2 linked regions of the Rhinolophus ferrumequinum genome follow. The protein of the gene in region 2 interacts with the protein of the main gene of each other region in a pairwise test. Links are inferred from orthologs where the notes say so. Each region holds a gene or a part of one and is shown on either strand. Other genes may lie near its edges.

Region 1 (12,527 bases), on a different chromosome or scaffold from region 2:
CACCCTGTTGTTTTGTTTTACCTTAAGCATTGTATTAATATATAACATTGCCAGCATGGCCATCAGAGCTCTTGTATTCTCTCTTATATTTGTTACCATACCACACCATCACATATTTATGTACTAGGTCTCAAGGAAAACATTAATTGTATTAGAGCTATGCAACTGAGCTACTTTCACTACAATGAATATGAACCAAGCAATAGTACCATAGGCCATTCTATACACCGGAACTTTCTCATGGCAATATTCACTACAGAGCATTTGGTCCATATGAATAACTAATTCTGGTTGATCTGAGCCTCCTCTTCCCTCCCCGCCTCCTAAACACAAGGACAATTAGCTATTTAAGTACAAAGTGCCTTTGATCATGAACCTCTAGATTTGCACTTGAAATGTGGCTAGGCCAAATTGAGATGTTTTCTAAGTATAAAATATATATCTGATTTCAAGGATTAAGTACAAAAAAATCCCCTATCTCATTAATAACTTGTTTTCTAATCAAAACCCATTGAAATGATAGTCTTTAGGCTATATTAGGTTAAATAAAAAATATGAATTTCACCTGTTTTTACTTTTTTTATGTGGCAACTAGAAAATGTAAAGTTATACATATGGCTTCTATTAGTGGCTCCCATTATATTTCTGTTGGACAGTGTTGCTCTAGATAATACTATTATATTTTTGGATTTCTAAAAGGATTTGACCTGTTGTTAACATTCGTAACCGTTTTGAAGAGCAGGTAATTTTCTATTTGCCTCTTGTACACGTTGAATCATTTCTATTATACAGTAGTTTTCAAACTTCCCTAGAAAGGACTCTGAAGAGGGACCACAGGAACTGCTCAGGGTGATTCCATGTCTCGTCCATCAAACATTGTCACCTGTTTTATGAATTGGATTCCATTTAAGATTTCATTGGAAAATAAGAGGTTTCGTAAAATATTGGAAACCCCTTTTATAGAAGGTACTAAATGAACAGGGCTTTCCAAAATGTGCAAGCTTGGTTTTTGAACCAATGATTTGCATTAGATTTTGTGTATGACTTAAATGTTCTCCTCATGGAAATTTCCTTCCATGGTACGTGTCTCTAAATAACAAAATCTTTACAAATACTACAAGGGTCAACTCATCTATTAGCCTCTTTGAGTCTTTGTTGCTAGGTAGGGAATACTTTAGAGAAAGTACATCAGCAAATAGGTATTCATAAACAACCAGGAAAACATTTTAAGATTTACAAAATTTATACCAGTCAGAATCAAGCAATATATACATTTTTACTTGATGTTTTATAAGGACATTGGTAGGACTACTAGCTTTGAGATATTCCAGGCAAATCAGAATAAACTATTTTGAAAATTCAAGTTTTTTAGTATCATGCAATATGTAAATTCCAAATTGGGATAGATTATCAGGATGTTTCTGGGAATTATTAGACTTGAGGCTGTAGTGGTATGCCCTTGGACATGAAAAGATCAGACAGCGCTCCGTCTTCCCCACCTAGATGCTGGTGGGGAATTTTTCTCTCCAGGATGGACAATTTCATTACCACCTCTGGGTTCCCAGCTCAGGCTTAATTTCTGCTACCACAGTCGAGTCTGTAAAGAACAGCATGTTCAAAGATTTGGGGAGTGCAATGTCTATTTACAAGTTTTCTATTTACAAACTTTTCTCTCTGCAACTTATACATTCTAAACTCATATGCAGTTTCTATATGTAACTACAACAATCAGCAAAAAGCAGCATCATGTTTAGTAAATGGTGAGTTCTCTGTGCCCTTCACAAATACCTCTTCACATATTAGAACAAGTCTATAGTTTGAAATTTTACAAAATATCAAACATGTATTTGGTATATTGAGAAGAGACTATAATTTGTTCTTTTTGACAGAGATTTTCAGTGTTATTAAAAAAAACCTATTAATACGGTTGTTTCATACTATACTTACCTGTATCTTTTTGGCTATTTCTTCTAATATCTTTAAATTTACAACCTATAAGTAGTAATAAGAAAAGTGAAAAAGATAGTTTTAGGTCATATATAACAAGTATATCTAAATACATATATAGCTACTTTAGAAAGTCATTCCACATGATCACTTATATGATTAAATTCCATTTTGAATGTGAATTTCAATTTCTTATATTCTTAGGAATATAATCCAGGGATTTATAGATCCCAGTTGAAGGAACTCCTAATGCAAGGATTTTTTTATTCTGTGTCCTTTCTGTAATAATTACCCAGCTATAGTCCTCAGCATCACATTGTACCCCAGTGTTTACATTTTATTAAGATAGGTAAATCAGAAATGTAGAACTGTGAATGTGGATCTGGAAGGCTTGAAGAGTTGATCTAAGTTCCCTTTATCTATGACCCACCATGAGGGCTTCCCATGCTGATGGTCTGTGAAAATTCTCCTATTGCTCAGAATGATGTGTTAACTGACAAAACAACAACTACAAAACCTTTAAATACATTAATAAGAAGCCAACTGTAGTGTTACCCACCTGGAAGAGCACATAAACCGAGAAACTGAGAACAATTCACTCGTGACAGGGGTAGCCTGAAAAGAATAAAACTTTATCAAGTTTAGTTCAGTTTTTAAAAGGTTATAAATGGAAATTCAATTTAACAAATATGTCTGCTTACCACTGAACATGGGTGTTTTAAAGTTTTATAGTAGTGACAAAACAAAGATTCATAGTTAAATATCAATGTGTTGGTTACAAAAAGGCCTAAAAAGACTGAAAGTTTTGAAACAGACATATCATTTGCTGTGTTATAATTTAAGTCTTAAAAGTGGCAGGTTAATTTAAATTTACCTTAAAAATAATAATGCCTAGATTGCCTATAGCTATTATACAGTGTACTTAAGTTACCCTGTGGAATGTTACCTGAGGTTTTTTTGTCTTAGTAACCTTAGGAAATGAACTGGAAAATGACCATATGACAATTTCATCCCAAGCATTCATTCCACATTACTATTTTAAGATTTCTTTGTAGAACTTCCTTAAACAGATATAATTTCATATGATAAAAACCACAGGCCACCCATCTTTGTTGTAATGGATTTGAATAAAAATGAAATAATTTAAAGAAATCATATTCCCAGTTTTCAGTACTCAGGGACAAAGCAGGCAGAGGCTCACCTTGTCTGCAAGACAGAAGATGAGTTTAGAGGAAAACAGGGGGCAGCATATAAATATCACCAGAATTTGAAAGTCAGACGAGTTTTGAGTTTAAAAGGGGAGTTAGAAAGGGCAATGAAAGATAATTGTTATTTAATAGCAAAACAAAAACCTTCAGGAACAACACTTACACTCTTTTTCTCTTCCTATAGTAGGGAACGGTGCTTTCTTAGATTATTACATTTACAGGGATGAGAGAAAGCATTTGATTGTTGGTTGTAGAGATTCTTGTATAACCAACCATAAGTCACTGCCAAGATTTGGAAGCCAATTTTATATAGAAACATTAGTTTTTGTTATTGTATCTATGGTATGTGGCTTTTATCTTAAACAGTGTCTGCTGATAAATACATTACTATGGCAAGTTCTAAGATTTGACTAAATGATAAACAATTAAATATCTCATCCTAGGTTTGATACACTATTCTTTTGTCATAAAAGAATAAGTAGGTTTTGGTACTAAATGGGAGATCATTACATTCCTATCTCAGCTCCTTACTTGTTTCTACTATGGTTTTCTCAGGGCATAAAGAAGGACCCATCCTCCAAAAAGCCTAATTCTATCATACATAGTAAATAAATCATGGAGTTAGATAATCCTTTAAGATTAGAATTATACAATCAGTGGAAGAAAATCATGAAATATTTTCAATATGTGGACTACAAAGATCAGAAATGTTAACATACCATGATATCTGAATTGGAGTCTGCTCATCTTCAATAGGCTCTTCATCTGAGGAGTCAAACTCACTTGTTTGCAATGAACCAGGCTTCAAAAGAAATCAGTTATGTTAAATAAATGTAAAGAATATTTACATATAGTCTAATTATAGCTGATCTCTGCTTACACACACACTAAATGCATATTTGCAATTTATTCAATCTGGAATATCAGAGACATCAGCAATATCAATAGTAAATTATTGCTATTTGCCACCTTACAGCACTATATAGTGGAAAGAGAGTTGGATTGGAAATCAAGAAACCGGGCTTCTGGTCTTGGTTCTGCCACTTACTGTATAATCTTGAACAAACAATGGCAGTTCGTCTGGATCTCAGTTGTACACAACTATAAAGTGAGGAGGTTTATTCATTCATTCACAAACATTTCTTGGACACCTTCATTTGTCAAGGTCTGGAGAGCGAAGATTCATAAAATAAATAGCCTACCTTCCATATAGTTGGAGACACAGATGTGTGCACAGATTGAAGAAGAAAGTTGTAAGAGCTAAAATGGAAGCATAATCTATGTATTTTTGAGCAGAAAAGGGAATGACTAAGGGTGCTAGAGAAAGCTTTACGGAGAAGATGCATTCGCCGGGTTTTGAAGAATAAGCAGGAGGTTTTAGGCAGATAGGGAAGAAGTTAAGGCAATTAAGGCAAAATGAGAAAGGGCTTGTGTATTTGGGAACTGTGTTAGAGCAGAGATGAAGCTAGAGATGTAGTTTTGCCTACCCCATTTCTCAAAACATGGCCCCATACAGCCTAATAGTTTGGCTGGGGGAGGGAAGGAGTATAGGTGGAATAACCTGGCCCCAACTTTGTGAATCATTGGATTAGAGAGATTGAGATGGACTCTATGCTGATCTAAGGAGTTGGAACTCAATCCTGCAGGCAATAAAAAACACATCTTCTACTCCCTAGTTGGAACCAACAGACATAAGATGCCAGAGATGCGAACGGAGATCAATATATTAGTTTTATTACTGAGTATCAAATGGAGGATCTGGCTTTAAAGCTGTGGTCCGGTGGGCTTTTCAATTCGTCACTCTAGAATTGGATTTATCCACCCACTAAGAGGCAGCCAATGACAACCCAGAGCTCAGTGTGGCAGAGAGCACTCCAGAAAGTACTCTCTATGTAGAGAGACCAGGGAAAAAAGGGTGGAGCTACTTGTGTTCAGCTCCTCCCAAACTTGAGGATCAGATCACTCACTTTTCCCTTTCTGGGTACAAATAGAGAAAGAGGTCAGGAGGGAAAAACAACTGGTGTCCCTCCATGTGATAACATGGGGATTAGTTCATTGTAACCACCTAATGTCCCTTCTAGTTCTGAAGCTATATTCTATAATTGTTTTGTTTGTTATTACAAGATCATATTACAGAGCCAAATTAGGCTACGGATTTGAGTTGCTTTGGATCTCTCTGTATTATTATTATTAACTCAACTCAAATGAAGGCCCTTCAATAAGGTTGTCAACCTTGGTGATGGGTGATGTGAGTCAGGTAGGATTTCAGCTCCTTGCATCTGTTTTTTCTTTTTCTCTTTCTCTTTAAAGCAGTTTTGATGATTCGAGATTTTCAACTTGTGTGGCCCACTCACTCAGGCTGTTTTAGCCAGGTTTACAAATCCTAAGTTGGACGTTTTCGCTTTCCCGGGTTCAGGGATTCTGAACCCCAGGGAAAGGCGCACAGTGCCCTCTGGCCCTGGGGGGCGGGGGGATGACAGTGGTGACAACACCTATAAGCGGGGGTTGGCAATCGTCTTTCATGAATTTTTCCTCGTCCATGGTGAGGACTCCTCCCCAGGGTCCACTGGGCAGCCCTGGACAACCTTTGAGGCTGTGATATCAGGCAGACTGATACACAGAAACAAACTCTCTAAGCCTCAGTTTCCTCTGTAAAACGGGGCTCAGCCCTCACTGGCAGGGCTGTCGTGAGGCTTAGGAGACCCCGCAGGCGACAGCACATAGCCCAAAACAGGCGCACAGCAAATGTCCATCTTCCCCTCGTCCGCCACCGACCCCGTTTTTTCACAGCCATCGCTCTCTCCAGTCCTAGGAAGCGCCACCTCCCCTAGCCAAGACGGTTGTTCAGAGAGGCATTCCGCGACTAAGCCCGGCCTGTGTCCCCGGGCCCAAGAAATGGCCTTAGGACCTCTCGCGTCCCTGAAGCTTCTCTCCTCCAAGCCTCGACCCAACTCACCGGCTTCATCGCTGGTTTCCCCACGTCGCGACCGGCCACCGCCTCCCTGGGGCAGCACCCCCGTCTCAGCTGCCCCGCGCCGAGCCCGTCCCTCGGCTCAGCTCATTGGCACATCCCTCTGTGAGGTGGAGCGCGGCGTCTTCTAGGAACCAATCACACCCTCTCCCCGTTTCGTGCTCCGCCCCGGGAGGCCCTGGCTCGGCCTCTAACCCCTCATTGGTTCCTAGGTGGCTTTTGAAAGACGCGCGGGAGGAGAACCCCGTTGAATTTTGATTGGCCGAGAGGGCGTCCAACTCACGCCAGTTGGAATCGTGGAGGGGGCGGGGAGCGGGGCGGAGCGAAAGTGTCTAAGCGCAGCCGCAGCGCTTTGCGGATGCTGGAAAGGGGTGCTTCCTCATGGCAGGACTTCCAAGTGGCATCAGAGTAGGGGATTCTGTCTGTTTTCTTTAAAATTTTTTGTTTTGTTTTGAGGGCATGGTGGATAGGAGGTGGAGGAGAACTGTCCAAGAGCATCTTATGAAAACACACCACATCCCATAGGCTTTATAATTATGGTCATATCTAATCATACAAATACTATGGAAATGGCTAAAGTCTAGAATACAAATCTACCTCGTATATTTGATAGTTTATGTTCTTTACCATTCCAGGATCTAGACAGATTAAGGTATAGATCAACATTCCTCTTCACCAAGTATGAATGAAATAATATTGTATGAAGGGAAGATAGAGTGTCCAGATGGTTCCAAGTGCCAGTGTTTCTTACATAATTGGCTATAATCTTCAAAATATGTGTTTGATTATTTTCTTCCCTATTTTCCAGTCCCCATTTCTCTGGCTGTGGGGAAGGAAGTCACTTGGTGCAATGTTACCTGCAGATCAGACAAAAGTATGCAGAAGTTTCAGCTCCCTGACTCACATTGTGAAAATAGAGCTATTAGGAATAATTCCTTAGTAAGGAAGATAGCAATAGGATAGATACATAAAGAGATTTATTTTAAGGAATTGACTCCCACAGTTGTGGAAGCGTGGCGAGTCCAAAATCCTATGAGGCAGGCTGGAGGGCTTAAGACTCAGGAAAGAGTTTCAGTTGGAGTTCAAAGGCAGTCTGCAGTAGAACTAGGACTGGTTGATGTTGCATATGAAGTCCAAAGGCTGTCTGATGCAAAATGCCCTCTTGTCTTTTTGTCCTAGTCAGGCCTTCAACTGATTGGATGAGGCTTAGCCACATTGTAGAGGGGAGTCAACTTTACTCAAAGTCCACCAATTTAAATATTAATCCCATCCAAAAACACCCTCAGAGAAACATCCAGAATAATGTTTGACAAAATATCTGGGCACCATAGCCCAGCCAAGTTGTCACATAAAATTAGCTATAATAGACACACTGGACTTGATTCATCCATTCATTCACTAAATATTTATTGAGCACTGTCTGTGTCCTAGGTACTATTCAAAGTGCTTGGAATACTGGAATGAACTAAACAAAGTCCCTGCCTTTATGAGACTCACATGCTGTTGCGGGAGATAGATAGTGATTTGTGCTGTGAAGAAAAATTAAAACAAGTGGAGCCTAATGAGGATGCTATTCTAGACAGAAAAGTCAAGGAAGGCATCTTTGAGGAGACGTCATTTGAGAAACACCAGAATGAAGAGAGTGAAGCATTTGAATATTTAGGGGAAGAGCTTTCAATCTGTCTGAAGAGTAAGGAGGTGCAAAGGCCCTGAGGTGGGAATGTACTAGGTGTGTTCATGGAACCTCAAGGAGGCCAGTGTGGGAGAAGCTGACTGAGTGAGATGGAGAGTGGTAGGAAATGAAGCAGTGCCTTGTGGGAGGCGTAAGAGCTTCTTTTCTGAAGGATTCTAGAGAGGTTCCAAAGAAAGATTAGTTCCTGGGCTCTGGGTAAGGTAATTCATATCTCTATGAATTACAGGGGAACAAGTCCTCTCTGAGTGGGCTTCAGAATGTTGATACTCCCTCACTTCCTAACTTTTGCCTTCTTGCCACTTCTCCCCGTGTTGTCTCCACAGATCCCTTTAATCTTCCCTTCCATTTCCTCAGAACATACCTTCCCCCTCAGAGTTAGTGAAGAACCAGCCTCTGTGTTGTGCAACTTCTGCCACCTCTGGCCTCCAATGAACATGAACACAGTCTCAACCTGTTCTAGCCCTGCTGTTTCTGCAGAGAGGAGAGGATGAGTTCCTATGGTAGGAAGGCAGTGGAAGGCTAGGGTAAACTGGAGCATTTCAATTTCTGTTTGTTTCCTCCACCAGCAGGGCTGTGCCCAGGCTTTCTTTTTAACTAGCCAAAGACAAACACATCTCACCTCTGTAGGTGTTTTTTTTGTTTGTTTTTTGTTTTGTTTTTGTTTGTTTGTTTGTTTGTTTTGGTCTAGGTCAGGCAAACTTTGACCTATGGACCAAATCCCACAGGCCTGTTTTTGTGAAGTTTTATTGGAATACAACCACACTCATGTGTTTAAGTATTGTCTATGGCTGCTTCTGAGCTTTAACGTAGAGTTGAATTGTTGCAATGGGTCCATATGGCCTGCAAAGCCTAAAATATTTACTGTCTGGCCCTTTACAGAAAAAGTTTGCCCACCTCTGGTACATAGTCAATGAGAGAAATATGTATTTCTTCTAATAACATGACTTTAAGTCTACTTCTTGGAAACTAAGACTCCTGGCTTTACCATGCTAAAATGTTTTCCTCTGCTTGGCTTGCTTTCTTCATGATGGAGGGTTCCACATAAACTGACAAAGCTTCTGACTGAGACAGCTGGTTAAGTGGCATCATAATAACTTGGTTTCGCTCTAATTCCCAAGATTCTTCCCTGAGAGGAAGAGTCGGGGCTTAAGTTCAACCTGCCACACCTGTGGTCTTCAGTTAATTTTTTGGTGTGTGACTCATGGCTGTTAACAGAAATGTATGTGGTCAAAACAGTGTGGAAGATTTATCCAGAGAGAAAAGTGTTAACACATGTTCATAGACAGATGAGTGTTTTGAGAGATGCTCAAAGAGAAATGAAACATGATTGCCATCTGTAGTTACACTTGATGTATGTTTTACAACTAGATCCGTATTTTAAAAATATTTTAATATTAATACTAATGGACTTGACATGTGTGTTAGGGAGAGAACACTGGAATCTTAGAGTTAAATACAACTTGGAAAGAATGTACTTCCTCATTCTTGACAAGTTTAAGAATTTCTCTTGGGATGACCATCAGATATAGTATATGACATTTGCAGTAGACATGTGTTATTTTCCCATTTTTTCTCTCTTTGGTGAATTTCCCCTTTCCCATTTCATGTGGTCTTGTTAGGCGTGTGACTGGGACTCACCCATACATGTACCTATTCCTTCCGTCACACTTATTAGTCCAGGGAATACATGTGATCCAAACTGGAGCATACTTCCTGGTCTTGTATGCTTTGATTGCTGGTGCTCTTATTTCCTTCTTTACCTTCCTAAGATTTCTGCTTTATCCCAGAATGATGCTGAGTTCTGATTTTCCCTGGATAATTGGAGTTGATTGTAAAGTTTATTTAAAATATCACTTAAAATTTAAAATGCCATTGCATTTTATCACTGGAATAGGTTGTATTTTCTATAACAATTTCACTCCTCCCACATGTTTTTCTGCAATGTGACTTTGCCAGGCTCCATCACAAGGTGCAGCATAATACTTCTCTTGAATATGAGTTGGACTTACTGTCTAGCTTGATGTAGGAGAAGTGACAAATGAGAAGCTCGATAAAATTTCATACCCATGTAACCAGCAACCAGATCAAGAAATGGAACATTCCCAGCTCCCAGAAGTCTCCTTTGTGTTCCCATTTGCTATTCTGACCCAAGGTTACCTTCGTTTTGACTTCTGAAACCATAGCTTAATTTTGCTTGTTTGGGAATTGTATATAAAAGGAATCTTTCGTGTCTGGCTTCTTTAGCTCAGCTTTATGTTTGTGAGATTCATTCTTGTTGTTGTGTATAGTTGTGTTTGTTTATTCTCATGGCAGTATTCCATTGTTTGAATATACTATACTTTGTTCCAATCTGCTGTTGATAAACATTGGGTAGTTTCCAGTGTTGGCTATTATGAATAGTGCTACTATACATTCTTGTCCATGTCTTTTGGTAAACATATGTATACATTGCTGTTGGGTATATACTAGAGAAGAAGTAGATATGTTCATCCTTAGTAGATACTGCCAGACAGTCTTCCAAAGAGGTTATAGCAATTCACACTTCCACTGGCACTGTGTTAGAATTCTAGCCCAACATCTTTGCCAACATTTGAGATTGCCTGACTTTTACATTTTAGCCATTCGGTGAGTAAGTCGTTTTATTTCAAAGTAGCATCTAATTTCAAATTGTTAATGACTAATACTAATCAGTTGGATATCAGAGAGAATCAGTAGATGCCATTCTTTAAGAGGTAGCAAAGGTTTATAATTTTTAGGAATTTTTAGAAAATATTTCTATATTATGTATTAATTATCATGTGTCAGTATTTTTTCTACATTATTTTTGAAATGCAAGTATCATAGACTGTATATATTTTGAGGGTTCATACCTTCTGCAGACCATAAAACTACTGATATGAACTGAGGGGCCCCAAATTAAGAAGGTTCCCAAACTTAGACAACATCAGTGAACCTCACACTGTGATGGAAGAAATATTTCTTAACTTTCCCAGTCATCACCAGCTTGGGGCTAAAATTAAAGTCAAAATAACCATACTTTGAAATGATATTTCCCTGGTTCTTCCTCTGTCCACTATGTGAACTGTAGCCCCTCTCTATTCTTTATAATAGTTCAGTGGGTCCTCACAGATGACCATGATACAAGAGAAAGGCACCCACTGTCTTTGGCTCTCCAGCTCTCACTTGCTGGAATAATGTCACAGATCACTGCCCACGCCTGACAACAGCCAAGCTGACTACCCACTGACTTCCCACCCAACTGCTGTGCCAACTGCACCTTCTCTGTGGCTGCTGAAATTGCTGTCACAGGATTTTGCTAACTCTTAAATCTTCAATGTCCCACGGAAATTTTAATAAAACAGCTCTTTTTAGTTTCACTGACTTTTTAAAGCCATGGAACCTGGGTCACAGGATGTAGGGTACAGCCAACACTGGGCAACACCATCCCTCCCCTCTGGCTCTGTCTTGATGTCACTGAATCCAGTTTGTGTACTTTGACTTTTCCCTTAGGGTGAGTTCCTTCCCAGGAGTCCCCTAGCCTATCCTGTAAACAACCCTAGCAAGATTATCTCACCCTCTACAAGCTGTAAACAGGCATGTCTGAGTCCTGAGTGCTTGGTCTCAGGCGAGGGTGACTGCATGTCTGGGTTGGCCCGGGTTAGTCCTGGTTTATGACTGTTCTACTGGCATAATTATTAACAGCTCTGTTGCTTTCAAGTTTCCAGGTTTGGCTGGTAAATGATATATGGCCACCGTCTCTCATGCCATCTCTAGGAAAGTTTTCCAGAGGTAGAACAGAATCAACAGCACATTTTAGAACAGTCAAGAAAGAATATGTAGAAAAGAATTTTGAACTCTGAAATCTGGTGTTGGCATTGCAGTGACCTGCCTAGTTCGCTGCCCCCGCGTTTCCTCTTAGCCCCAAGGCTGGCAACCGCTTGGCTCCACCTACAGGCTCTTCTCTGCTCTGGTCTAGATGGAAATAGCTGGAATAGACTGCTATGAAACTCATTTGGAGGGTAATGCTTCTGGTGGGCCCCCCTGGCATGCCCTGTGCCCCAGGTTTTCCTAATCTGGCTTTTGCTGTTTTACTGAGGCAGTTTCTGTTTCATTCATATGTTGGTTTTCAGTGGGGCCCTCATTATCTCTTGCCATTCCCCCATCCCTGGCCTGCCCTGGAGCTGGATGCTGGCTCCTGAGCCTCAGTCACATGGGTCTTACTGTCCACTGCCAGCTTGCTCCATGCAGCCTGTCCCACCCTGGTGCCCGCCCTGCTGCCCCCATCAGTGCATTTGTAACCTCTTCTTACACTTGCGTGTGGTTTCCCACTAGGAAGGTGAGGTACCCCATCAGAAAAGGCAGGGGCATTGAAGTCGAAAGACCTGATTGAAGTCAAAAGACTCTGACTTCTAAGCTCAGAGAATTTTCAAGTGAGTTTGTTTGCTATGAATCATTGACCTGCGGCTGGATCAATCTTTGGGAAAATGAGATTTCTGAACTTGAGGAATCAAGGTTCTATTATATTTCAAAGAAGCTGGGGAACAGAGCCTTTAACTGCTGGCTTGATTTTCTACCTTCATGTGAGGAGAAAGCTTGGCCAGCTCCTGAAGCTGGGCTACTCGCCTATCCAAGTTGCTGCAGCCCCAGACAGCTTCTTACAGGGAAGTGTAACTAGACCTTTTCCCCATCTCATCTCATTGGTTTTGGA
Region 2 (13,042 bases):
ACTTGGACAGAAAATATCTACAATAATCAAAACCAGAATTGAGGGGGGAAAAAAAACTACCTGCCACCACAACCACCATCTTGCCTTAGGCTTTTGTCACTTTGTTTTACACACATCAATAGCCAATTAAAAGACCAGAATATCCTAGTTTCCAACAATATAACACATACTTTTGAGTTTTATGTTATCTCTGGCACTACTTTTCATTTTATAACTAGAAGCACTATTTAGTAAAAAATTAACTGTTAACAATCTAATTAATCTCTAGACTGTGGGGAGAAAATGAAATATTCTTTTCTTCCTCATTCTACTTTCTAACACTATTTCCAAGCATACTGCCACAAAACACAGGCATTTCTATAGAGTAGAGCTTTTACATTCACAGTGGATAATTACTAATAAAATTAGGCAAGCTTCTTACCTTAACAAGTGAAGAATCCATGAACTGACCAGGAGGGATAGAATCCAAGTATTTCTTTAGATCCATGGAAAGGAATTCAAAGATGAGATATAACCTGGAATCCTGCATAAGCACATCTTGAAGACTAAAGAATAAAACAATTATGACCAAAAAAAGGGACAAAAACAAAAACAAATCTAGCACACATTTCTGACCTCTCTCAAAAAATAAAACGACTTCCCTAAATTTCACAGTGGCTATTATAAAAAGTGGGGCTATAAGAAATTTTCTGTAACAAATACATACTGTTTTGGGAAAGAAGAGATGGTAGCTTCCCTAGTGGTGAAAACCTTCACTAGAGCTAAATAAGAACTTCAGAAAGGAAATCTCAGGGCAGCAATGGGAAGTTAAGTTGTATTATACAAGAGTTGCTGTCAAACCACTTATATTCCAAAAGAACATTTTTAGGTTGACTGCTTGTTGGTCAGAGCTTGTCTTTCCATTAAGTAAATTATAAATTTTAAAGTAATACCTGACCTTAATATCTGACCTATCTCCAACCACCCCTCTTTTACCCCCGCAATCAATTAAATCCTAACTTGGACCTTTAGAAAGACAAACCCACAAAACACCAGCCCAAATATTTAAAAAGAAAAAAGAAAACAAATAAACAAACAACAAACAAAACCCTCTTTCTTTTTCATCTGACCTAACTGCCTATCTTAGGACTCTGATGAAGGGATCTTTAAAGACCAGAGCTCTCAGACTGGGAGAGTTAACAAAGCTCAGTGAAAAGGTCTTCCTTTTCGCCCATGGCCAATTAACCTTGATTTTCAGCCCTAAATACTAGTATCTATGACCAAGCTCAAGCTCCTTTACCTCTGTTCCTGCTTTACAGCCTATGCCATACCCAGCATTCTCAATTAACAAAAATAGTATTTTTTTTCCACCCAGTGAGGTTATACCAAAAATTAAGCAAATGTGTAAATTTCCCACATTGAAATCCCCATTTTAAATAGCATGGGGAAAATGGTTAGAATCCAGATATTATACCATACCTGACTATATTTGGATGACGAAGTTCTTTTAATAGAGAAATTTCCCGAATTGCAGTACTAGGAACCCCTTCCTCTTCACTTTCTAGTCTGATTTTCTTCATGGCTACCACTTGACCTGTAGTTTTGTGTCTACCCTTATACACAACTCCATAGGTACCTGAAATAGACAAAACAAACGCCTGCTATGTGACACCCTCCACAACCTAAAGATTCAAATATCCTACCCAGCAATAAGACAGGCATAGAACAGGCATAAAGATTTGGGCTCAGGAAATATTACTAACAGGAGTCACTGTGACACTTTCAGAAAACTCTGTATACAGTACTTTATGCATTTCAAATATATAGTCTATCCTCATCCAGAAAAGAATGGGGATAAAACATTTCATTAAATATTTATTAACTCCAATAAAGGTCACATTATTTACCACATAGTAGAAAAGCTTCAGACCCATTCAGAAGTTGATGGGAACACTGATTCTGATAGTTGGACTTCACAATATCAGTATAAGGGATCTGGGCATGGAAGTGGCAATAAGGGAGATGGATTACATAGTTAGCTAAATCAAGTTCATATACATGGTATACTTAATCCACTAGATAAGTGCTTTTCAAACTGGGGTTGAAAATTTTAAGGAAGTCTTGAGCCGCTTAACTATATGTAAAATTTTATTGAATAGCTTTTGCTATTTTTCTATGACATCAGTATAATTTCAAAAGTGACTAGAGTACATTTTTTTAGGGAGGCTATTCTATAGCTTTTATCAGTTTCTCCCAAGGTAGAAAAAGGTAATGATCTGCCTTAGACATGCTAATCAAACTTATTTTTAACTCAGTAACAAAATTAGTGTAGTTGAATGGGTATAATAAAATTTTTAAGTAAATTTATTTTTAAAAAAATCATATAAAATTTTAAGTTAAAAGAAAGAATCTATCTCCAACCCAATCACCACCCAAACTTGTCATTATTATCTTACTGAATTCCTTCTACTACCTCCCCTGGCTTTTCAATAGTATTCCTATACAAGTAAGGCTTTGGAGCACACTAAAGCTATAGTTGGAAATGTTCCTCAAACAGAACCTACATAAATTAGACTCTAGTAGCAAATTGTAAATTATAAGTTATGTCATTTGTTCCTGGAGAGCTTAGAATGTTAATAATATCAAGACACCTATAAAACGTAAGATATGCTGTTGGTGGAGGAAAAACAGGCAGAGGGATATTTTTATCCCTCATTTATAACATATGGATATATTCTTTAAAAACTTTAATGAAATTACAACAGAAAGAACAAATGATTAGATTATTGGTTTTATTAGGTTCGTGCAAAAGTAATTTTGGTTTTTGCAATTATTTTTCTTTTAAACTGCAATTACTTTTGCACCAACCTAAAGAATAGCTTAAACATGTACACACATCATTTAAACCTAGGGGAACACAATAGAAACTTATTTAAATTAGTGTAATAGTCAATTATTGAAACCAATTCGGAAGATTCAGGTAAAAAGATTTTATCATATTAAAAACAATTGTAGGAGACTAAAAGTGTATTACGAAACTTAACATAATTCTACTGTCCTTACTTCTCGCCCCAACACACACACAAGATATCGCTAGTCTTCTCAAAATACAAATATTGCTTTTTAAGTACTTAGTATTAGAAGAATGCAGGATTATGGGGGAGAGGGGCTGTCAGAGTCATATTAGAATAATTTCAATTCTCTTGAAATGTGAACATTTTTGTTATTTCTTGTGTTTAAGTTATTTATGTAAAGGACATATATATTAATGCACAGTAGTGTAAGATGCTTTAAAGTTTGGATTTTAATAAATATTTACATTTCTTCATGTCACAGATGTTATAGCATCATTAAGTCATTAAACATTTTTTTATTACTGAAAAGCACTCACCTTCTCCAATTTTCTCTATTTTGGTATAGTCTTCCATAGTTAATCAATAGGTATGGTAGATGCTAAAATGAGATGAAAAAATTATTTGATTATATGCCACTAATTCAAAAGAGGGGTTTAAGTTATTAATGAAATACTATATGTAAGGTACTTTCCACAGTGCTTAGGTACAGTATTAACTTTTCATAAATATTAGTTATTGCATTAAAACAATATTTACAAGGGAAAGTACTCCAGCAATAAGACTTCCCCACATTTCTTAACCCCTAAAACACTGGAAATATTTGTATCATATATCAGTGTTTAGCTTCTTTCAATCAAATAACCCCTTAAATTCAGACATCAACTTATCTGTCCTTCCCAAACAACCAGAAGTCTGTTTTCTTATGGAATACTTCTAAGGAGCACCAGTATGTGCCAATTACACCCAGATACTTCAACAAATGCTATTTGACTGAATATTTACTGGTTTATGATTTTGTGAAGATAATTTAAAGACATGACTAGGGAGCTAAAATGTGGTCACACTGCACATTCATTAGATTGTTAAAAGCATAAGTGTTTAAGCTTGCTCAAGTGAGTTTTCTGTTTTTAGCAGTCACATACACAAACATGATCAACACTTTCAAGGTATTTTTTGAAAGAGTAGGAAATATCATTTAGCACCCTAAAAGAAAAGGTGCAATTCCACAGACTAAGTTCTAATTATGCCCTATACAATCTCAAGAACAAGTTTATATACATATAAAATATATATGTATATATGTGTATATATGCATATATATATGCATATATATACACATATATATATATATATATTTTTTTAAATCACAAATAATGGTCAAAAAAAAAAAGCTGAAATGCAGATAACCAGACACTCCAGACTTCCTTGGCTGGTAAATTTGCCTATGAAACATAACTAGAAGAAACCCAAAGCATAATTACCTTGATTTTCTAACACACCCGTCACTGATAACATCATATATAAAGGTCATCTGAATACTCTGAGTAATTGGCCCTTAAGTTCTATTTCTCACTTTCATCTTCAGAATCATTCCACAGAAATAGAGATAAATCTTTTTAAATGAACAAAACTGCACTACACTGGCCATGAGTGTCAACCTTAAAAATTTTTAATTTTACGAAATGGCAATGGATGATTAAGATAATTATCTTTCCTTCAGTATCCTGATTTAATATGCCTAATGCACAATAAAATTGTTGAGCTCATTTAGCTAAAAACTAAGTCAATTTCACAGCTGGGTTCGAGTAGCCTCCCTCCATTTTCCTGCCATAACCATTTTTGAATCAAGGATGCAGCGTTAGGCCTTTTGAATACCTCCGAAGGCTCTCAGTACTACTAGCTGCAGGATGTAAAATACCAATGGACTGGCCTGGAGACCTGGCCCAAGTGTGGTTGCTTCCCACTCCCAGAAGCGAGGGCAGAGCGCACAAGGGACCTAGGACCGAGCCTGGCACTTCGCCAGCGCTCGGTGTCGCGGAGCCAATGCCCGGATTTGGCTTCAACCGCGACCCTAAAGCCTCCCTAGCCAGGTGGGCGGCCTCTTCCAGAGAAAAGCCGACCGCGACCCCAGACCGCAACTCCGAAACCAGGGCAGCCGCAGCCCTCCCCGGCTTAACCCCACCAGCTCTGGGCTCCCCTAAACCTCCCTCTAAAGCTGGGACCCGGCGTCACTCACACGCCCAGGCCCGAGCCCGCAGGTGAAGGCCGGGCCCAGCCGCCGGAGGCCCAGCCTGGCCCCACGCTGCCCAGCCCAACTTCCAAATTCCCACCCAGTTACTCAATACTACCCCTCTGAAGCCCCCGAGCCGACCCCTGTGGACCCCACAGGCATGACCCTGACCCAGCAACACTCCCCGGCACGTTACCCCGTGGTAAAAGGGGCAGCGGTGGCTACCGCGTCAGCTTCTCCCTTTCCTTCACTGCTCCGAGCCAGCTTTGAAGCCAAATGCGAGCAGTTTCAAACTCACCGCTCTAAAGGGTCCCGGGTTCGCCAATGAGGTGGCCCGTAGACTTTCAAAGGAGCCAATCAGAGCCCAGTCACGCTTGGGCGGAGTTCTCCGGTGGCTGAAGCGCGAAAGCAGAAGAAAACGGCGGCTGGAGAAAAAGCAGGAGGGCGGGCGCCAAATGAATCTGCGCGCAAGCGCCGTCCTTCATCCCTGGAGAGCGTCGTCCTACTGTTTCTAGTCATCAGGAACCTACTGATCGGTCTCGGTTGGTTCCCCCCCCTTCCTATATCAGCACAATAAAAATTTATTGTGCACAACTAGCTCATCACAAAAGTGATACTATACTTAGATCCAGATTCCATTACTTTGTTCAAACTAGTGTATAGTTATGTTTTTCTAAATAGATGACTTTTGGGCTAGGCCGAAGGAGCACATTTCAAGAAAATGGAAAACTGAAAGACGTCCTCAACAATGTAAAGAAACATGTTTCTTTTATATATATATATATATCTTTTATATATATATAATTGTTTTTACCTCACTTTTTTATTTTAAATTTTTTTATTTATTTAAAATTTTACTTATTTAAAAACTAAAAACAAAATTGTATTTTTTTAATTTCAAAATATTTTCACATCGGTATTTTAAATGTTATTTAAAACAAATAAACAAAGTCACAATTCTATAAGGGAAAAAAAAGAGGTCTTTAAGTAACCCAGTATCAAACATTCTCTTTCATTGCCCTCCACCATATTCTTAAGAGAGATTTCTGCACTTGAACATCATTCTTAAATCTTCAAGACAATAGAAGAGTAAAACAGAATGTGATAATAAGGTTCCCCTAGCAAGAATTTCTCTTTGCACTGACCTTAAAGGGATGCAGAACAAAGAATGATTACCATGACCTCTACAAGTATATTAGATGACCCAGAATAGGAGAAGCAATGGAACTTCTTTTATCACATACGTGGAGGTGTTTAATACCTTTTTACATAAGTAACATGTATCATCTGGCCCTGTATGTGGCACAAATGCTCAGCCTTGACAACTTTATGCTCCTAGGTGACAGAGGCAGAGAATTTAGAGTGGAGGTAGGGGTCTGAAAAAATCTCTACCTGAACCTAATAAACTTTAAAATGCCAAATTCACATTTTAAATGAAAACTGGCTACCCCCAGTAAAGTACTCTAGGAAAGAAGACTGTTCTCTGCTAGTTTAGGGTACTGATTTTAATGAATGAATATATATCTTTCTCTCTGGGAGGCCTAAGCATGGAATTTAATTGAGACCATCTAAAAACAGGTAGTAATTCATTATATCCACTTTATGTTCAACATAAAGAATACCAGAAGTTTCCACAGGTGTGATGCTTGATTTTTTTTTTAATTTAACTTGATTATCTTTGTTTTTGAAGTTTCAGGGATTATTGTAAATTCATGCTATTGTAAATTCATTTTACAGTTTATTACACATAAGTCTCACTTGTATTCAATGTCTCTACAGTGCAATGCTGCGCTTAAATAGACACAAAAATGAATCAGATACAATTCCTGCTCTAAGTGTGGACGTGGGAGAATACAATGATTACTTAGAATTGTTTTCTGGCACTTATGTTGTAATTTATGCTATAAGATAATGTGAGAACATAGAGAAGGAAATTACTAATTCAAGCAGAGGAAGTGACATTTGAACGAACACTGGAGAAAATAAATGTGGGGTGGGCATTCTAAAGCACAGGAGTTTAGAGTCAGAATCTTGAAGAGCCCTGAATACTGTTATAAAAAGTTGCTGAGGAGAGGTACAGTCTTGGAACTGTATGTTAGAACTATTCTGGAGGTAATATGAAAAAAAGAACTGAAGAAGAGAGGATGGAAAGTCATATGCCCCACAAAATTTCATACTTATATTTTGGTAAACTCCATTTAGAAGGAAAAGAAAAGGTTAGTTGGTACTGCACATGAGGCTTTTGTTTTGCTTTGTTTTTAGATATAAGTATTGCTGTGGACTGAATTATGCCCCAACCCCCAATTCATACACCAAAGCCCCACCCTGTAATATGATGATATTTAGAGACGGAGCCTTTGGGAGGTGATTAGATTTAAATGATATCATGAGGTTGAAGCCCTCACTGTGGGATTAGTCCTTTTATAAGATCTCTCCCTTACTCTGTCTCCTCCATGGGAGGACATAGCAAGAAGGGTCCATCTACAAGCAAGAAAGAGAGTTCTCACCAGAACCTGACACTGCCAGCACCCTGATCTCAGACTTCCGGCCTCCAGAACTGTGAGGAAATTAATTTCTGTTGTTTATGCCACCCAGTTTGAGGTATTTTGTTATGGCAGCCCAAGCAGACTAGCACGAGTATTTTTTCAGATAAAATAAATTCGAGAAACAGTTACTTGTGACTACAATAATCCCCCCTTACTAGCAGTTTCACTTTCCACAATTTCAGTTACCTACTGTTTACCATGGTCTGAAAATATTAAATGCAAAATTCCAGAAAGAAACAATTCCTATGTGAATCCTACCTTTGTCCAGCATATCCACTCTGTAGACGCATCCCGTACCCATTAGTCACTTAGTTAATACCCATCTTGGTTATCAGATCCGCTGTCATGGAATCACAGTGCTTGTGTTCAAGTAACTCTAATTTCACTTAATAATGGCCTCAAAGTGCAAGAGCAGTGATGCTGGCAATTCAAAATGCCAAAGAGAAGCCATAAAGCACTTCCTTTAAGTGAAAAGGTGAAAGTTCTTGACTTTATGAGGAAAGAAAAAAGTTGTATGCTGAGGTTGCTAAGCTCTACAGTAAGAACAAGTCTTCCACCCATGAAATAGTGAGGAAGAAAAAAGAAATCCATGCTAGTTTTGCTGTTGCATCTCAAACTAAGAAAGTGCTAGGGAGCTAGATACCCATATCTCACAAGGCCTTCCCAGGTTGTGCTAAAGGATTTGGACAGGATGATGAAATTAAAGGGGAAAAATGGGAGTAGGGGAGTGACATAGTCAGATATGGGAGTTGGAGAGAAAAGTCACTGAAGAGAAGATGCGAGGAGGGACAGTGAGGTAGCATCAGAGCCAGAAGACCAGTGGAGGGCTCTGCGACAGTCCCAACAGGGGCTCAACTAGAGGAGTGTGGGTCAGTTTGAAGAGGAAGAAGTAACGATGAGCTATTTTGAGAAGCTAGGACTGTAAGACCTAAGGAGTCGATCGGGTGTGATGAATAAGGGCGAAAGACTCATCAGGGATGGCGTGGGTGCGGGCTTGACCATGCGTTGATGCCACTGCCATCTGCAGAGAGGCTAAGGAGCAGTCGTGGGGGTAAAATGCCACTCTGGCCTGTGGATTGTGATGTATCATGGGACAGCCACGTGGCCACAGATGGCCAAAGGCAGATACAGGTTCCGTGAGGCCTGAAGTGTATATCATGTAGGGGCCCTTTTTAAATTAAAAAAAAAAAAAAATGCTAAGTTAAGTGTGATGGAAAATATATTTGAGAATAAAAAATTACAAAATATTAAAAGTTAAAAAATACCATCAAGTCACAAAATCCATTAAAAAGTATTTTATTAATTGCCTGACAGATCTTTATATTGCCTTTGTTCTACATTTGAGGGGGTTTACAATTTTTGGAATCCATATTTTAAATGCTTATTTGTTCACCGAACTGATGAGCTATTTATCTTTTTCTCTTTATATGGCACAATTTTGTAATATTTTCTATTAAGAGAGAAAAGATAATGCAGTCTTTCCTTTAGCATGGTTAATCCAAACTGGCTTTTTATGATTGATCATTTCAAAAAAGTTTTTGTGGCTCTCACATCGTTATTGATTATGTCACATATATTTTTAGCATTTCTGTCAAATGTGAGAAAACATCAAGTTTCTTTCACATACTTGTATGTGTCTATGCTACTACTCTACTCATAAACTTGTGCCTTACAAACACAGGAATTATGCAAAATTCTAATGTGCATCATTCTAAATATTCCAGATTTCAAAAATTGTCTGATATATTTATAATTGTCCATGCTGTGGTAACAAGCGTATTCCTGACACAGGAGAAATTCAGTTTAGATGCGGTAATGATATAATTTTATGCATGTTATAATTGACAGCATTGCCCACAGGTTAGCTTCTCCTCTATTACCCACTTCCCATTTACTTAGAGTTCATATAAAATCTCTGACCCTATCCCTTCATGTCCAGAGGCCAAGAGAGTCAGCTGAATGGATGGGCAGAGTATTCCCAGAAGCCCTTCCTACGTTAGGACTGGTGGCAATAACTTGGAAGTGTGGTGGGTAAATAACTAGATGCCGCTAATCCTAAACTAAATGTATCCTCAACTCAGCTTCCTCTGAGCCAATTCTCACCATTGTTCATGGTCCTGCCGGTGCCACTGGACAGGTGGGGAAGTGTGACTGACGGAGTGTTCAAGTAAAAAGTAACAGTGACCTGAATGGATTGTAATGAAAGTATCTTATTTCATATACTTTACAAACACACAACCCTGTGAGCACCCCTCTCAGAGCCTTGGAAAGGGCCTGTGCCAAGGCAGGACCCTGACACTTAAGTTTCATTAGATTCAAGGTGAATTTAACTCAGAAACTGACAGAAAATTTTATACATATTTGGAACCAGGAGAGATGATCAGGGCTGTTAGATGTTAGTTAAATCTCTGAGATATTTTTGATGCTTTTTATGGATTCCTAATGCCTTTTACATTTTTTGTCACGATATTGTGGATACCTAAGTTAGGCCTTTCTGTCAGAACTAAAAAGTTATTTTAACAAGTAATTCTTTAAATCGTTGTCTTTTAGAGTCAGCCCAATGAAGCGGGGCAGCGGATTATGACTAGATCTCTAATCAGTAAATAAAAGAATTGATATAAAAGTTTGTTTTCCAATAGTGTTAAGCAAACAATCTCCTAGTTTAACTCAATACACCATCATCTGGAATGATACAGGCCTGGGGGTTCATGGCATGAAATATTCTGTTTTATTTGAAATGTTTACTATTCTTGAAAAATTCCAAAGAGCAAAACTATAATCGTATCCTCTTACTGCTAAACTAATATGGGACATAATTTATTTTTTCCTCAAACACGAGGCAGGCACTTTAGTGTCTTATAGATTCCAGGGGCCTGTTTGTGAGCAGTTATCTGACCCTTGGCGGTGCGTCATTTTAGACCAGTGACATGATTCTGAAGTCCGACAGAAAACTCTGTCAGTTCCACTCACCAGATATTTGAATGTCTTCTGTTTGCCTGGCATTATTTGAGGGCTACTAAAGACACAAAGATGAATTAGACTATCTGCCCTCGAGCTTCAGAGGAGGGGTGATTATACAAATGATTACACTTCTTTTATGCTAACGATTTAATTAATTAAATACGTTCCTTCAGCTGGTATTTTGAAACAAGCACACGGGGAATGCAAAGTAATGTCTCACTCAGATCTGCTGTTTCAACATTCGATAACAGGATTAAGCCCAAGCGCTTGTCTTCCAAAACTTCAAAGTGCAGATGGGAACATGTGTAAAAAGAAAAGAATTGCAAAGAAGAAAGTGGACATTGTCATTCAACAAGACAAAACAAAAACGTATTCCTACCCCAGGCATCGTATTTGATTCTTTCCACAGCCAATCCCAAACCACAGATTCAAAAATGAGAGGTAAGAAGAGAGACATTCAAGCTACCCTGACAAAGAGCCTTTCTGGAGGGGCTGTGCTATCGTCGTGGTTAAAAGCTCAGGGTCCAGAGACTGCCTAGGCTCAAATTCTTTTAAATCTTGGCTCCTACCCTTACCTGTGGCTTTGAGAAAGTCACTTCATTTCTCTGTGCTTCATTTACTCACATGATGATAATAATAGTACCCACCATGTTTCCCCGAAAAGAAGACCTAACCAACATCCCCTGAACATAAGCCCTAATGTGTCTTTTGGTGCACAACTTAATATAAGACCCGGTCTGATTTTGGGGGAAACATATAGTTGTGTCATTTTGAGCATAAATGAGGTAAGCCATGTAACATTTACTTAGATCAATGTCCAGCCCACAGTAAGCACTTCACAAATATGATTTTTCCTAATCACTTTGTCACTACCTGTCACAAAAATAGTAGCTATGTTAGTAGATACTGAAACAGAGACTTGAATGGATTGCAATGGGATCACAGAAGAGAGGGGAAAAAAAATCTCTGGAGGAGGTAGATAATGCTTCATTAATGATGAGATCCTTGCCTTATGTTGAGAAGGAAAGCTGATGTTGTCAACTTAAATGGGAATTGAAGGAGAGGAGCCTGGGTAGACCATCCAGACAAAGGGAGCGGCATATGCAACAGACAACAGTGTCAGAGAGGTGCCTGGCTTGCATAGGATTTATTAGGTTGGTGCAAAAGTGATTCCGGTTTTTGCTATTATTTTTAACCTTTTAAACCACAATTACTTTTGCACCAAACTAATATAAAAGGAGTTTGGTAAAGCTGAACCAAGGGTGCATTTGAAATAATTCTTGGAATATGAACACACCATTAGCAAATAGAAATGGGAAAAAGAAGTTGGTGGGGTGGGGATGACCAGGTGGGTTGCATTCTAGGCAGAAAGTGGAAAAGCACAGGGTTGGTTTGGAGAACATCCATCAATGGGATTTAGCTGGAGGGCAGAGTGGGTATAGGGAGTGAAGGGGTAGAAGGATGAAAAGGAGAGTTGCATTCATATTGTGAAGATTTTTGGAAGTCACTGTAGGGAAGTTGATCAGCAGCACTTCAAACAGTCCAGTGGGAACGACTAACGGTTTTTTATTGAGCAGGGGAGTGATAGGATTGCATTTTCCCTTTAAACAGTTTAATCTGGCTGTACTTTCCAGAAAGGATTAATGTGGGAAAGGAGAGGAGCAAGAATACCAATTAAAAGGTAATTTCCTCCACGAGTTTATAATACCTAAGGCTGTGACAAACTCTATAAGGCTGAAATTTATAAACCTGCATATTTGCATGTGTGTGTGTGTGTGTAATCTGCAGGCAATGCTGTAAAGATATTATGACTATGATTCCACTAGAGGGTAGTAGAGACAAATTGATAAAATTGATGAGGCTGCTATCAATTGAAGTATCAAGCCAAGCATTTTTCTTCTTGTTTATACTTTGTAATGACTGCAAGCTTAATTCAATTATTCCATGGCTAAGAAATATATGACAAGTACGTTTAGTGGGTTGTAGCTCTAGACAAGTTAGTAAATTCAAGGTACCCATTTTTAGAAGGCAAGAAAGCTGGATTGGCAAGGCAAGACACTAGTAGACATTTAGCGTTTTTACAATAACCAGTATCTTATTATAGCCTTGAATGCAAACTCTTCTTTTAAATTAAATATTACATCCAAGTCTCTTATTGATTTTAGTAAAAAGAGAAAAAGAACAAGAAAATTGGTAAAATGAATTCTGGTGTGTACACTTGGTTACATAATTTAAGTTGAAAAAAGCATATCTTTGATATACTTATTTACAGTTAATATCCTAAAATATATATTACTGTGTTATATATGTTGCTGTATTTTATACACATAGACACACACCTCCTTTTGGAAAGTAATACAGCAATAAAAAGTTATATACTTTTTTTTAATTTAGTATATCTTGTAATATTATTTTATCACAAGAGAATAATTCTATATAGATAAAAGTCATATACTTGAAACAAAGTTATT

The links.
Region 1: the proteins of CDK1 (region 2) and CDKN3 interact in a two-hybrid assay, tested with the Homo sapiens proteins (2 studies listed by BioGRID and IntAct). The link is inferred for Rhinolophus ferrumequinum from reciprocal best matches to the Homo sapiens genes CDK1 and CDKN3.

Annotation. Positions count from the first base shown.
Region 1 is NC_046289.1:38,741,135-38,753,661, forward strand, and holds the start of CDKN3 (cyclin-dependent kinase inhibitor 3), read right to left. Parts: upstream 6,234-12,527; 5' UTR 6,121-6,233; coding exon 6,112-6,120; intron 3,958-6,111; coding exon 3,875-3,957; intron 2,563-3,874; coding exon 2,507-2,562; intron 1,993-2,506; coding exon 1,948-1,992; intron 1-1,947. UniProt on the Homo sapiens protein: May play a role in cell cycle regulation. Dual specificity CC phosphatase active toward substrates containing either phosphotyrosine or phosphoserine residues. Dephosphorylates CDK2 at 'Thr-160' in a cyclin-dependent manner.
Region 2 is NC_046299.1:41,134,281-41,147,322, reverse strand, and holds the start of CDK1 (cyclin-dependent kinase 1), read right to left. Parts: upstream 5,497-13,042; 5' UTR 5,363-5,496; intron 5,361-5,362; exon of another isoform or gene 5,261-5,360; intron 3,433-5,260; 5' UTR 3,408-3,432; coding exon 3,371-3,407; intron 1,616-3,370; coding exon 1,459-1,615; intron 546-1,458; coding exon 422-545; intron 1-421. UniProt on the Homo sapiens protein: Plays a key role in the control of the eukaryotic cell cycle by modulating the centrosome cycle as well as mitotic onset; promotes G2-M transition via association with multiple interphase cyclins.